Linked DNA regions of Diceros bicornis minor. The protein of the gene in region 2 interacts with the protein of the main gene of each other region in a pairwise test. Links are inferred from orthologs where the notes say so. Each region holds a gene or a part of one and is shown on either strand. Other genes may lie near its edges.

Evidence for each region.
Region 1: the proteins of SH3GL2 (region 2) and EGFL6 interact in a two-hybrid assay, tested with the Homo sapiens proteins (2 studies listed by BioGRID and IntAct). The link is inferred for Diceros bicornis minor from reciprocal best matches to the Homo sapiens genes SH3GL2 and EGFL6.

What each region holds. Positions count from the first base shown.
Region 1 is NC_080781.1:10,980,617-10,988,355, reverse strand, and holds the start of EGFL6 (epidermal growth factor-like protein 6), read right to left. Parts: upstream 3,171-7,739; 5' UTR 3,012-3,170; coding exon 2,938-3,011; intron 1-2,937.
Region 2 is NC_080761.1:40,043,110-40,051,067, reverse strand, and holds the start of SH3GL2 (endophilin-A1), read right to left. Parts: upstream 3,194-7,958; 5' UTR 2,967-3,193; coding exon 2,922-2,966; intron 1-2,921. UniProt on the Homo sapiens protein: Implicated in synaptic vesicle endocytosis. May recruit other proteins to membranes with high curvature. Required for BDNF-dependent dendrite outgrowth.

The DNA.
Region 1 (7,739 bases), on a different chromosome or scaffold from region 2:
AGCCACTAAGTTTGTGGTAAATTGTTACAATGGCACTTCCCTAACAGGGCTCTGAGAAGAATCAATTCTCGAAGTAGGGTGTGGCTGGCAGAAAGCAAGCCTCTCTCCATGAGTGTGGACCCCCAGCACAAACCCAGTTATTCCTTCACCTCTCACATTACTTTTACTTGAATTCAATAGAGAAAAAATTTCTAAAAAATTTAAGTAGGGAGTTGCTCCAAACTTGAATCTCAAGCATAGCAAAGTTAATAACGCATTTATCTTATGTGCCCAAGTCAAAAAGATGCCAGAGTTAGAACCTGGAACACTGGAGATGGAGTTCAGATCAATAAATGTTCTAGACCAGAACTGTCCAATAGAAATATAATAGCCACATGTGGCATTTAAAATTTTCTAGTAGCCACATTTACATAAATATGAAACAGGTGAAATTAACTTTAGTAATATACTTTATCTAATATCAACAGCATTATCACTGCAACATGTAATCAATGTAAAATGATTAGTGCAATATTTGACGTTCTTTTTTTCCATACAAAGTCTTCAAAAGCTGATGTGTATTTTATACTAACTGCAACATCTCAACTTGGATTGGCCACATTTCAGGTCCTCAATAGGCACATGGGGCTAGTGACTACCGTATTTACTATATTGGACAAAGTAGGTCGAGAGTATCTAAAGAGTCCCAATGCCCAAAGGGCATAAAAACGTCTAGGTTTCAAGCCAAATTCTGATGCTTTCGATCAGCGAAACACATGCTGCTAATGATTTATTCATTTGATGAGTGTTAATTGTCTACTAAGTACCATTTAAGAGGCGTATAATTTTCTAGGTCACTAAAACTATGGTGTAGTGTTTCAAATAAAAAAAATCTGGTGCTTGTATTAGAATCTCTATATAGCAGTCACCATGTTTACTGTAAGTTGTGAAACCTCAGGAAATAAACAGTAGACATACTTTTCTGCAATGTGCAAAAGTGCAACACACTGTTTTGCCTTTTCTGTACATGTGTCGCCCGTAACTTGGAGGCTGGAGTTGACTACCATGGTTCCTGGCAGTTCCCGAAGCGCTGACCACTTGCCACTTCCAAGCATGTTGAGCAGATAATAAACATACCAGCTCGTGAACCTGATACCGTGTAAAGAAACCACGTTTCACATTTGAGAACTGCAGAATTGCAGAATCTTGACATGGATTCTCCATTTTAATATTCTTTGGTTTATTTGGGGGCTTTTCGGCTTTTAATTTAATTTGGTAGCACTTTGAAAGTGAAGCTCCTGGAGGTCAGTTTGCCGGCTGCTAAAGAGCTATTAATCTCATATCCAAATAGTGCTTGGTCTTTCTTCAGCAGGCTTTCTAACAATACGAGAACCTCCAACATTCAAGGAAAATGTGATTAGGAGCAAATTGCATCTGCTTACATTTTTATCATGAAAAGGAAATTAAACTTGTGATCAGACATTCTAAGAACCTGGTTTGAGGTTTGTTCTGTTTGAACTTCAAAATCCCTTAATACTGTGGCTGACTGATGAAAGATTTTTTTCCTGTAAGTCAGACAAAGATAGTCGGGCTCACCTTTAAGAAGCCTGTACCAAACCAAGGCTCTCAGCCTGCTCTCCCCAGGAATTGTTGACCAAAAAGTCTCCATAGTGCAGTCTCACTCAGCTGGAGGTGATTCTGCCCCCCCCCCCCACCCGGGGACCTTGGGTAACGTCCAGAGACATTTTTTGGTTGTCACAACTTGGGGAAGTTGCTACAGGCATCTAGTGGGTAGAGGCCACAGACGCAGCTAAAAATCCTACAATTCACAGGTCCACTCTCTCCACCCCGGAACGAATAATTGTCCAGCCCAGCCCCAAAGGTCAATAGTGCCTCAGTGGAGAAACCCTGCTCTAGTGGACACCTCAGAAAGCAAGGCATCACAGCCAGAGAACCAGGAAACCTTTTCCAGTGAGTAACTCCCCAAAGGCTGCCCTGGTGCACCGGTGAAGAGCAAGGACTCTGGGCCAGACTGCCTGGGTTTGAACGCCGGCTCCATCACTTACTGGCTGTGCCTCCTTGGGCAAGTTAGTTGCCCTCTCTGTGCCTCATTTTTCTCCTCTACAACATGGTGATGATAATAATAGTACCTTCCACACAAAGCAGTTATGGGCTTTAAATGGGTGAATAGTCTTCAAGTGTTCAGAAGAGCACCAGGCCTACAGTAAGCACTACATAAGTATGTATTTACTCAGTGGCTTTGCTGATCTCTGGAAAAATCAGTTTCAGGGCTTAGAAAAGCTTAGGGGCAGTAATGAAATGGCCTCAGATTCTGAAATGCCATAGCAAGAAGAATAAGTCGATTTCATCTGACAACCGCGTCCCTTCTTTCCAGTTCATCAACCTTAATCAGAAGGGCATTGAGTAGAGGAAGCCCCTTCACGGCGGGCTCAGCCCAAGCACAGTCAACGCTTACTCTGTCTTGCTCAGTTTCTTTCCCTCCTTCCCCAGCAAAACTAGCGGCTGACAATCAGTTGGCGCCCTCCGGATAGAGCGGAAAACACAAAACTGGACAGGCACAGAACCCACCCACCTACACACATACAGACATTCACACACGCGCCCCCACAGTAGATGTCTGCAGACCACCAAGCCAGAGCGCACCCACGGGCCGGCGCGCAGAGCCTCCTTCCTCCCGGAACCCGCAGGACGCTGCCAGGTGGGGCGCAGCTGATGCAGAGGGAACTGGTGCAAAGCCCCGCCAAAGGGGCGAGGGGAGGAAAGCCCGTGGGCACTCGGGCCTGACGTCCTTGTGAAATCCCGTCTCAGCGCGCACAGAGACACTTGCACACACACCCGCTCACACACTCGCGGGGGTGCCTAGAGGGACGGGGGACAAAGAGAAGGGGCCTCATGGGGGAGCTCAGACGGGGGGCCGATCGCCAGCCAGACACTCACCTGGCCGCGTTCCCTAATCCACCTGCCACCCAGGGGAGAAGCAGCGGGAGCGCAAGGGCCCAGGACAGCGGCATCTTCGCGCGGGTCCTCCCTCTGCCAACGCCTCCCGTTCCTCCTCCTGCGCCCCCTCGGGAGGGCGCGGGCGCGGGACCCAGGGCACAGCGGGGCCGCCGCCTCTGTTCTCTGCCGCTCCGGGTCCCTGCTCCTCACAGGCGCGGTCCCCGCGGGAGCGGGTGCCGGGCACTGCGGAGGGGGCGCTCGCGGCCTCGAGAGAGGTGGGGGCGCCCTGGCTAGGCGCGCGGCGGGTCCTCCACGGGTGAAGCGCGGCCCGGTGCGCGAAGAGGGCGGAGCGGGCCCTGCACATCTGCCTGGGACCCGCCTACAGCACGACCCGCGCATCCTCCGCGCTCTCTGTTCACCGAGCAACTTCCCCCAGACTCAGTTCGCTTCACTCTTGTCGGAGTCACCACGTATCGCCATCTCTTTCAGACATGGGACAGGTTTCGGTGATACCTGCGCCCGAGGGTTTAAGAATTTAGTTAAGTCAAAGCAGGAACCAAGGATGCTGGTTCAGAATGACACTTCTATCTTACTTTTGTTTAGGTTTTCATACTCTGCCAGGCTTTCTTCCACAAACTGCAAATCATGGGCTGCTAGAGGTGGAAGGTCACCAAGTCCTGTGCAACCCCTTCCTTTGACAAGTGATCGCCCGTGCTCATTTGCAACAGCTGACTTACATGGGACCACTAGATGATATTGTAATGTACTAACCAGTGCAGAAATTAATGGCAGAAACACGAATGCTATATGATTTCAGAGAATTCACTTGAGTATTTACCTTAGCTCTGACGACTTGTTATAGAATGAATGATTGGTCCTTCCCTCACCCCTCCCTGCATCCACACTCTTTGGCTTCACGGTGGGCGGAGCCTATGGCCCCACACTTTGGCTTTGGACTTGGCTGTGTGACTTGCTTTGAGCAATGGCATAACGGTCAGTTCCAAATCTAGGCGGTAAGACACCAGATCTCTATCACGGAGATGAGAAGACCACGCCCACAAGCTAGCCTCGTGGCCTAAGGAGATTGAGGAACAGGTGGAACAGAGCTACCTGGTCAATTTGCAGACCTATAGCTTGAAGCAGAACTACTGGGTCAAGCCTGGTGTCTATCAGCCAACTCACAGATACGAGAATGAGCTCAGCCAAGGGCAGCAGGGCCAGCCAAGCTACCAAGGCTTATGGTGATAATTTGTTACACAGCAATAGCTCTCTGACACACCTGTGCCCTGGTGTTGGAAATAAAATGAAGAATATGGAGAAAGAGGAGGTTTGTCTTGATTATAAGCTTGATTCATGGTTATATAATGGGTATATGCCTTAATTCTAGCCAATGAAATGTGAGAAGTGGGGGTGGGGAATATTTTTGGGGCAGATTCTTGATTTACACCATAGAGGTCCCTATTGGTGTAAGCCATGTTGAGTTGGATCTTCTGTTTTATGGTTGAAGGCATTCTAATGGATTCAATATCCCTGGTTAGTAACCAGTTAGGCCTTGAGCTGTTCATAGCTGACAGTAACAGGCATTGTCCTCAACACTTGACATGCATCATCTTTACTGAACACCCACACTTCTATAAGTAAGGATCATTAGTTCCCCCAAGTTTGAAGTAACAAGAAACTGAGAGAGAGATTAAGTAGCTTGCCCAAGGTCATACAGCTATCAAGTGTAGAACCAGGATTGGAAACCAGGGCCCTGCTGCTGTGATATAAATCCCTTTTCTCATCTTCTTACTCTTTTGTGACTTCAAGTGTCAAATGAGTCTCATGAATAGGGTAATAAGATGATCTCTTCAAGGCTATGACCAAAACCCTTTCAACTCTTCATACTGTAACTGGTTTTATTTACCAAAAATATTAAAATTGAAAGAAAACAATATAAAGTATGAACTATATACCTGCAAATATCTTAAAGCAAGTGGAATATAAAATTTGGCTGGGTGTGGGTTTCCCCACAAGCAGACCCTAAGGCAAGGATTCGAGTGGAAGTAGTTTATTCTGGAGGTGCAGAGAACACTGGCCGGGGAGTGAGGGAGTCAATCTGGGAGGAAAACTATGGTAGGTAGGTGTGTATCAAGTCATCACTGGGGGCAACAGGAACTTCATGCCACTGGGCATCTCCCAGAGCCAGCCTAGAACATACATCTCCACGTGAGCTCGCCTAAAGGCGAGGGAGCTGGAGTATTTAGACACCATCTCCATTCAGTCATCGCCTGAAGGCTTCTACCAGGGTGCCGATCCTGGGATTTCCACCTGCTGTGCTGAGGGCAGAGAAAATCCCATAGATGCTGACTGTTGAAGTGCTCCTATTTCCTGGGGCAGGGCAGGGCGAGGCGGGACAGGCCTGGAGACAAAGGCGCCAGTCAGGTAGTAAGAAGAACAGAGAAGGAACCTGGAAGTGATGCGTTGCCTGGTGAGAAGATGGATACAAATTGCCATGTAGAGGCAGGTGTTTTTAATAACCACAAGGGCAATGCTGACTTTGAAGAGAACTGCTCTTTAGAGGACCCTACTCCATTCTACAAAGGAAAAACCATCTTTGATGAGAATCCCATAAAATCCTCTGCACCTTTTACAGTCTACATTTTTTTTTTCAATCTATTTCCACTTAGCCCCCTGCATGGAACAGGTGTGATGGGATATTTTTGTGCTTTCTCAATGTATACACGTAACATACATGTAGAACTTTTAACACTTATGATGGTCCTGGTGCTGAGATCTAAAAATTATATTGAAATATCACTACCAGAAGCAAAGCACTGTCAGATGCAAGAGCTCGGTGGAAGAGTATCTAGGGCAGAGTTTTCGGACCTTAATGTCAGTACAAATTACTTTCTTGTAAAAATGCAGATTCTAATTGTGTAGCTCTGGAGTGAGGCCTGAGTCTTGATTACTAAAAAGACCCTAGGTGATGCCCAGGCTGCTTGTCTGAGAACCACTTAGGGTAGTGAGGGTCTAGAGATCACCTGGACCAGTAGTTCTCAAGTTCAGCCGCACACTGAGATTACCCAGGAAGCTTTGAAACTACTGACGCCTGGGCCCCACCTCAAGAGATTCTAAAGTCTGGGCCATGGCTTGGGCATGGGGACATTTAGAAACTCCCCAGGTGGTCCTAATGGAGAACCAAGATTGAAAACCATTGATCTGGACCAACTTCGACATCTTACAGATGGAAAAACTCAGCTTCAGCGTGTGAAGGGCCTTGCCTGAGGCCACACACAGGATGAGTTCATGTCTCTGTGTTTCCGCCACATGGTCCTCCGCTTCAAACTTTCTGATCACCATTCCTACCAAAGAAGAAAATGGCGCCTCTTCTTAATCTTCTATGTTAATTGTAGCCCAGTGACATGTTCTAGAAATTGATGTGTTTTCCCAGTCTGTTTCTTTCCATTTCTTTTTGTTCCAGGAAAGGAGTCAACAAAGAAGTTTAAGACTCTCAGTGCAGATACTGCTAAATTCTGTATGGGAAGGTGTGTCTTGAGGTATAAACTGTTTTCCTTCATTCTGTGCCTGGCAAGGACTCTGTTCTTGAAGCTCTATGGTAGAAGAAAAATCCCAACCACTTCCAATCTTCCTTCCCTTCCTTTTTCTCCCCTTTCTCTGTCCTTCCCTCTCTCTATCCTTCCCAAACATTTATCTGGAATGCTCAAACATTCCTTGCTCAAACATTTATCTGGAACCTACAAGTGCTAGGCCCTGTGCTAGACAGTGGGGACTGCTTGGTGGAAATGTGTCCACCAGACAGTTCCTGGTTTTTCCTCCCTGGTCACCTGGGCTGGACGACTAACACGTGCTTCTTAGAACATCTGGTCTTCTTCCACATAACGAGTCTCACCTCTTGGGGACAGTCACCAACGTGAGATTAAAAGAGAAAAAAATGACACCTTGATTTATTTTCCCCCCAAATTTTGCCAGCTCTTAGAACTATCCACTTGAAAATTGAGGAAGAGAAAGAAATTGATATTTGTGGAGTTATTATTTCATGCTAGACATTTTATAGAGAGTATTTATTTTATATGTAGGGGAGTATGTTCTGGTGAGGAGCAACATGGCTTTCATCTGATATTTAAGGGAGTCTATGACCCTTTAAATGTCACTACTAGATAGAAAAGTCCCCTTGCCCGTAAATGAAATCTCATTTTCTGCATGTTAGCTTCCCTGACTTTTACCAAATTCATAAGTTTCCCACTGAAGGCACTTAATCAAGAGGGGCTTTTCTTTTTGTCTTTACTGGGGGGAGGTATCGCTTGCGTCCATCCTGTATACTTCCTTCCTGTTCCATGTGTAAATACTCTGATATTTTCCTGTTCACGACTGAGTGTAGTAATGACTCAGTTTAGATAGGCCTTAAAAGTAAAGACTCTTACTCAAAGTCACTCCAACTTGATTTGGGCAAGTCTGGTTGAGAAATGTTCTGTGGACTGTAAAATTGGGACTACATTTGTGATCCCCTTTTTTAAGAATAAAAGTAACAAAATTTGCTAAGACAAAGTGTTTTTTTTTTTTTTTTACATATATACCTCCCTATTTTTAAAAAGTTCTCATATATGGTTTACAGACTTATTTGTTCCTTTAACACAAATTTGGTCCAGCCAATCATGTGCTGAACCCTGTGTTTGGTTGGGATATAAAGATGAATAAAGTCATAATCCCTTGCCCTGGGTGACAGAAATGTGAATATATTATTAGAGTTAATGGTGTGAGTGTTAACAGAAGTACTTCAGGGTGCTGTGGAAATAAGGAAG
Region 2 (7,958 bases):
AGCTTTAGCAAACTAATACAATGACCTAAGAAATTTTACTCTGTAACAAACTTTCACTTTACTATAAAGCAAGGTACACCACACCAAATGCTCAATAGAGTAAAAAACAAGTACAGATTTTGTAAGACCAGCATGTTAATTGGAACCAGATAGCTATTTTTACCTAATCTGCTGCCAGTTTAAACCAACAAGTGAAAAAAATTGAAATTACTCTTGCCAAAATGAAATCTCAATATGAATAAAATGCACTAAAAGAAGACTAATAATGCTCGTTTGCCCTATTTTACAGTAAAAAAAAAAGTATCTTATTTATTCTAAATGCATGGTACATTTTATCTTTATGAGCAATTAAGTAATAAAGTATATTAAAGTAAAAAGATGATCAATTTTTGCTATTTTAATATATTCTCAAGCTGAAAGGATTTTCCCCTCTAACAAAATTTATTTGGCAAAGCATCTTTTTAAACCTCCAAATAGCAGATATTGAAAATAACTGTCAGCAACAAGGTAGAAATAATCAGTTCTAAACCAAGAGAACAGTTGACACATCTAATCAGAGATTTCAAATCAGTGGGTAAACACTAAAGGTATACTGCTTTATTAATATAAATATCACCCCTCACTAATATAAGCAAAAAACTCAATTTCATAGAGACAAGAGAAATGTTTGCTTGAGGAGAGGCCTTCCACTTATAAACACAGGCTATCTAATCTAGCATATCCATTCTCAAAAGAAAATAATTCCAGGTCTAAAGCTTCCTCTGCAGATAAGATCAGGTTCATGGAGGTATACGGGAAAAATGGCTTAAAAAGTAAGACACGGCTTTTTCCCCTAAATCTCTGTCACATGCAAACAGTAGCACTGGCTTTACACGCCCTTCAAAATACTCATACATGCACAGGCAGAATAACCTCTGCCTTGGGCCTTCTAAGATTGTGCTATATTAAGTTATGGATAAGAACAGATTGAGTGTTAGTTTACCTTGAAAATAAAAGGCTTTTCAGTAAAAAGAAGAAAATGACGCAGTAATTCTGCATCTGGATTTAGTAAGATAGCAAAGCTAAAATTCTAGCTTCTATAATTTCTTCCTGTCTCATTATTACTAACACAAGGAAGAGTATTTTATACTAACAAAATTATCCTTAACGTTAACACCATTTATTGACCACTTTTCATGTATGTTCTACAAACTCATTTATCCTCACATCAATTCTAAGAAATGGATATTCTTCTCAGTTTAGCAAAGACAGATTCAAAAGTTAAGTAACTTGCTCAAAGTCATAGACACAGAGGTGGGTCAAGCTTTAGCCTTGCCCATTCCAATTACGTTCCTAAACACCTCTTATGGCACCAAGATTTGCAAAGGAAGTCGTCAGAATCAAAGTGAAAGAAGGATGTGGTGGTATTAAATTCAGTGCTGAGGTCTACTTTAGAGAAGTGAAAAGTATCCGAAATAAAAAAAAGATAGAAGACCTGCCTGAGAATTTACGGGCAGCACATGCGCTGGTTCTGTAAACCTGACAGAATTTGAAGTATCAAGTCATTAGAGGCCTTCCAAATTACACCAAAAATGCACTTATATGTACAAACACTTCTGGCAGAGAAGTCTTAGACAGATCCAATCTGAAAAGCAAAAATAATTATATTAGCAGGCATTTTTTAACTGAAATCGTCTTAGTTTTCTTGATTTCCCAAACTGACAGATATAATTGATTCTATAAAGGCAAGTCTGTGGTGAGGGAGATGGCATGTAGGGACACACAAGATGAATTTCATGCTGCATCTGTCACCCTAACTTAACCAAGATTCTGTAACACCACATTTTCTGGATGTGGTTTATAACAGAACTGCTATTGTGGTAGCCTGGGAAAAACCTTACCACTTCTGAGAAATTATAAGAAAGCTCAGTATTAATTAAGGCTAATCTATGAAAAAATATTTAAGGCTAAATTATGATAAATATTTAAAGAAATCAACAAAGTCCTTAGGTAAAGATCCCTTAAACTAGAACTGTTTCAGAAGGATAAAAAAATAGTAACCATACTCATTACATAAGAAATAGGTCACATTATAAGTATTCACTTATGTGTCCCTAGATAAAGTTCTTCAACCAAGCCCAATGAGATTTAAATTATTAGAATCTGAATTAAGTTTTATTATAATCGCAGCTTACTAACCCAATAGAGAAAGATGGACACATCAAGCAGTAAAAGGCTCACTAAAAATAACACGTTAAAATATATGATGATTTTAAGTCTTCAACAATTTGGTTACGTTACGGCTGCAAAACCAACGGGACATTTTTTAAGCGCTGGTCAAGCGTTTGCCTCAGAGGAGTTTCAGCACCGAGTTCTCCAAGGAAAAGTTAATGCATGTGCTTCCCAGGAGGACGCCCCATTCCCATTCCTCTGGAGCCACAGGATGCGGTGGAAAGAGGGATCCAGAGACCACAGGGGAAGCGCGCAGACCGCGGGCATCTCCGCAGCCACCCCCAGTGCGGGCCACCCTCGTGCCAGCACATCCCGGGACAGCCGGGCGCTCCGACACCGCAAGGTCACCGGAGAAGCGGCGACTTTACATAACCTCCCGCCGCGCCGCCCGGGCATCTGCGCGGCGCGGTCCCCTCCCCGTGGCGCCCGCGCTGGGCGGTGCGGGGGCGGCGCGCGGGGCGCCGCGGCGGGACGCCGGGACCTGCGGGCGCCCGCAGCGCCGCACCAGCCGGGGGCGGGGACGGAGGGCAGGCTCCCAGCCCCGGGATGCCCCGGGCCGCGGCGGCGGGCGGGGCGGGCGATGCGGGGCGCGGCCGGGGCGCGTTGGGCGCGGGCCGGGGTCCCCGGCTCCCCGCCGGCTGCAAGCGCCCAGCGCGCCCCTCGCAGCTCCTCCCCGGACCGCCCCGCGGCGCACCTGTCACGCGCCTTACCTGAGTGGCTTTGTGGAACTGCTTCTTGAGCCCGGCCACCGACATGGTGAGGGAGGGAAGGCGCGCGGGCGGCTGCGGCTGCGGGCAGGAGGCGGCGGCGGGCCGGGCGGGGCGGGGCGGCGCGCTCGCGGGGCCGCCGCTCGTCGTGCCGCCGCCGGGGCTGTGGGCGCGGGGGCGCGGAGCGGCGCGGGACGCGGGCTCGTGCGGAGAGACACCCTGACGTCAGGGGCGGGTGAGGCGGCCTCTTAAAGGGGACGCGGGAGGCCCCGCCCCGGGCGCGGGGTTGGCGGGGCAGGTGCTGCGGCACGCGCTACCTGGGCGCCGGCGCCCGCCGCGCGGACTAGCTCTGCGGCACCCCCCCCACCCCCACCCCCACCCCCCGGGCCGGCGGCCTGGTTAAGACGGCCGAGGGCGCTATCCCGCCCCGAGTGTCGTTCGTGCCCCCGCGGACTGCGGACCGGTCGCTGCAGCTTGGCAGCCCAGGCACCGGCGCGACGCAGGTGACTCGCTCGGCTTCCAGGTAGCCGCAGCGGCGCTGCCTGCAGCCGGCCCGCCTGCCCTTTGAGCCCGGCCTCCCTGCAGCCTGTAAAGGAGGAGTGGCGCTCTATCTGGGGTAATGCATAAGTCATTGCTCCTTCTCTGCCTTGCCCCCGCTTGATTGGTCACAGAAAACATTGCTCTGCCCTGGTTTCAATATCCCTTAAGCCTACTTAACGTCGGGGGAAGCCACCGACGCTTTCTCTCTCCCTTTTTTTTTTCCTTTGGGCTGATACAATTTAACGACTTAAGAAGAAGAAAAGATATTTTTAAAACCTTGAAGCCGGTCAGGTAAATAGAATTGAAGTGGGATATTACGACAGTACTAGCATTTAATCCTCTGTTTACAGAAATGGAAAAGTCCGAATATGAACTTGGTGTTCACTTATGATAGCAGATTTAGGATTTTCAGTCTAAAATAAGCATTATGTAATGTGAAGAAAGCATGACACTAAATTGTACAAATACAACATATGTAACAAAGTATATATGGCTGAACTAAGGAAATTCTGATGGAATTAGGTGAATTGGGAGCAGAGTATGTCGCCTGTGTTCTGGAAATGAGCCACTTCCTCTGGTCTTTCTTGGACGGAGGAGCACGTGGAAAAGAACTTGAACACTGTCCCCACATAGGGACCAAAGATATAAGGAGAAACCAGAGTGACAGAAGCCAAGATGAGAGGCACTGCCAAGGATGAATAAGGAAACCACGCGGCAGAATGGCAGCTTCCTCCACACCCCTGCTGCCTGGGAGGAACCACAGACCCCAGCCCCACATTGTGGCCAGGCTGCTTGGGCCCAGGGTGAACCTCTGATACAAGGAGACCTGTCCATCGGCTGATCTCCCAGTCCTAGTCCTTGTTGATGATGTGAACTGAGAGACATAAAGGCAGAGTCAAGCAGGTAGTGGTGGGTAATGGAGCAGTGAAAGCACATGGACCCATGACCCCCTATGCAGAGAAAAGCAGACAAAAGGAGCAAATCTCCAAGTGATAGCCACCACAGGTGTTCATGTACCTTCCAGATCATGGTAGAACTGAACCTTTCAAACCCCTTGTGGTTAAGTGGGGCACTGTGACAAGTTTTAACCAGTGGGTTAGGAACGAAAGTGACTCATTTCTTGGCAAAGAATTTAATTGTTGGTTTGAGATGCTGTAAAGCTCTCTTTTCCCTCTGCAACAATGTTCTAGATAGTTGTGGTCTGTCAACTAGAATCCAGAGTCAGGACGAAGTGGGGCAAAGTCCCCACCTAATGTTTAACAGACGTTTAGCATGAGTGAGAAATAAACCTGAGTAATTTTAATTCACTAAATCTGGGGTTGTGACTGTGGCAAAACTAGTCTATCCTGAGTGAGGCACATAAAGAAAATGCTTTTCTGTTTCTTAGAAGATAAAGGGAGATTTTCCAGTTCCTGCCATGGCCCACATGTATTTTATTGTTTGTCATTAGATGTCCATGAAGTGGCCTCTTTTTTTCCTACAAAAAGCCTTACTGGAGTTTGGGGAGGTGTCTTCTCTTTTGTGCATCCTCACTGAAGCACTGGGCAGACTCAGTCCCCAGGCCTGAGGGTCAGAGGGAATGGTGGCTCCGTGCATTGACCATACCCTGACCTCTTACAGCTAAGAGAGGGTGAACAGTAAGCTCTAGTGATCCATAAGGCATTCTAAAGAAATGTCAGAGCAAGGGCCAATCTGTGTCTCAGAGAAACATCAGACAGGGAAAGACAAAAGTCCTGCCGATAGACAGCTGGGGCTGCGGATCCACGACTCCAGGACAAGGCGTTAAAGGCCTCATGAGGTGGTATGCCTGGGGCACATTTATTCACATCTATAAGGCCCACCACAGTGATTCCCAGATTCTTGACACTAGGAAACTATGCAAGACTCACTGCACGAGTAGGTGAGGCTCTAGGCTAGAGAGATTTGGGGATTAGTTTTGAGACAGAATAGGGATGGGATTCTGCCCCTGTCCCTTAACCATCATGTTCAGCACCTCCCAACCCAGCTATTTTCGAAGTCAAGACAAGCAACGTTCCAACCGCAAACTTCCCCCCAAAGCGGTCGACACCGACTCCCGCATGCGCACAAAGCCTCTAGATAACCACTATAAGACCTTTCTGGGTCGGCGGTAGTGAGCAACACCGCCGTGATAGACCTACTGGGCAGGTGCAGGGACCACAACCCCTATGGGGTACGCACAGCCACACCAACAGGAAGAGGGAAGCAGAACGCGTCTGGAGGCGGAGAATCCTGCCACCAGTCTCCTCCCCTCACCCCATAAAAAACTCAGGACGGCTCCCTTCCAGGAGCCAGCCAGAGAGCCTCTTCTGTGCTGTCTCCATCGTGCTTGAGCATAAGCCCTAATAAAACCTGTCTGGGACTTTGGATGTGCCTCTTGTCAATTTCTATTACACAGAGAGCCTAATGAACCTAGGGTCAGTATCAGTGTTACAGTGCTTGAACAGTGTACAATGCTGCTCTTGTACTCGGACAGTTTGGTGAAGCCTGCATACACACACACACATACTCATGAAAAGATTACCATTAAATGCTAATAATGGTTGTGCTGCTAGAGCAGTTCTCAAACCTTAGCGTGCATCAGAAACACCTGGAGGACTTGTGAAAGCACCAATTGCTGGGCCACATCCTGTTTCCAATTCACTATGTCAGGGTGGGGCCTGATAATGTGCATTTCTAACAAGTTCCCAGGGGATGCTAATGCTCTGCTCTGGGGACCACACTTTGAGAACCACTGGGCTAGAGCAGAGCTATTAAGAGTGAAATTTTTTCTCTATTCTCCTGATTTTTAAAATGTTTTCCCTTTACTTGTATAATAGAAAAAGTATTTTATAGGTAGTTTTTCCCACCTGGTCCCTGATCTGAACAACGGAACATTTTCACAGAAGGATGGGCCTTGGTTGAAGCTGCTGAGAGACAGCAGTTAATCTACAGAGCGGAAGGGCCTGGGATTCATGAGCTCTGGTCTCAACTGTGAAAGGTGTGAAGTGGGGACCTGAAGAGTCTCCTCAGAACTGTGAATACTTAACTGAACCCCAAATTTAACAAAAATCTCTCTCTTTCCCTGGTTCTTCATCCACCAACTTAGGATGCTCATTCTGCTATACTTCACAGGAACTACCTTGAGAGAAAGGACTTTAAATCCTTTTGAAACCATAGTTAACTCCCCCAGATATCCCCTGGATTTCATGTAAATCCAGTATTTCTACTGCAGCCACAGTTTACACCTGTAAAGACCTGTGAGATGTTTTGAAAGAGATTTGCTGGGCTCCTTCTACCAGCAGGCCTCCTGATAGGATGTGTTGGGAGATGGTAAGGGGAGATCCCACGTGGACTGGACCTTGAACCCCAAGGAGTTTCCAGGCTAGCAATTCGGGAAACTCTTCTTAGAGACAGTCATCGTAACTTGAGCATAAGGGGACAAATGCACCAGACGTTGAAAAAATTTCAAACATGAGTGACTTGTGGTTGCCCAGAAGCTGCAGCACAGGCTCTATGGAGAAATGCAGAAGCATGATGTAGGGAAAGGGGAACCAAAGGTCAATGAGAAAGAACTTTGTTTAATAAAAGGTTGTTGTAATTCAACATGCTGTCCTCTCATCTCCTGAGATCAAATCAATGCAAAATGGTAAATAAACCTATGTCTGCTCAGGAACGTTCCAATTAAGTGAAACCCCCACACAGCCTCACCTCACTAATTGGACAGGAAATTCATCGTCAGCAATAATTCCATCACATCAGTCATGCACTATTTCTCCTTGCATTATGCCAAAGCTTCTGGCAAATACCAGACCTCTAGTTTGCACAGAGCTGCTACATCCCTGGTGCTTTCAGAGGGCCTCTCATTCCAAGGAGGCATAAGACAAGCATCAGCTCTCATCTTTCTGCCCTTCAGCCCAACACTGCTCCTCAGGCCCACACAAGAGCAAACTGACTCTCTGTGTAAGCTCGTTAAGCACAAGAAACATAGCAAAGCAAAGGCGTTAAATCCCAACTTGTTATTTTAGAGATGAGAAAACAGAAGCAATGAAAAGAAGTGACTTATTCATCGTTACTTTTTCTCCTCCAGCCTCTAAGCCTCAATTTAGGGCAGAGCCTCCAGTCAGTGTTAATAAATACAGATTGGAATGAATGAATGAAAGATGGAACAATTTATCACCGCCACTGATGCAGTATGCTCATCACATTGGGTCTGATGTTCACCAGCCTTCCCTAGACAGCCTTGTAGTAACGCATGGGATGTGCAGGACCCAGACAGTCATTCTGGTGTGAATAGCACTCAACATAAGATTTTGTGCCTTTGGATGCTGCCAGTAGCACTGGGCCCCCACTTTGCATGGGCAGGGCTCGCAAGCCCTTTCCTAGAGATGGGAAATCAAGAGAAAGGCCACTTTCATTTCCTTTCTTCCAGGTCTGTCACCTACCACCCACCCTCCAACAGATACACAGAGAAGCACACTTTTTTGTCTCTTGAAGGGGGAA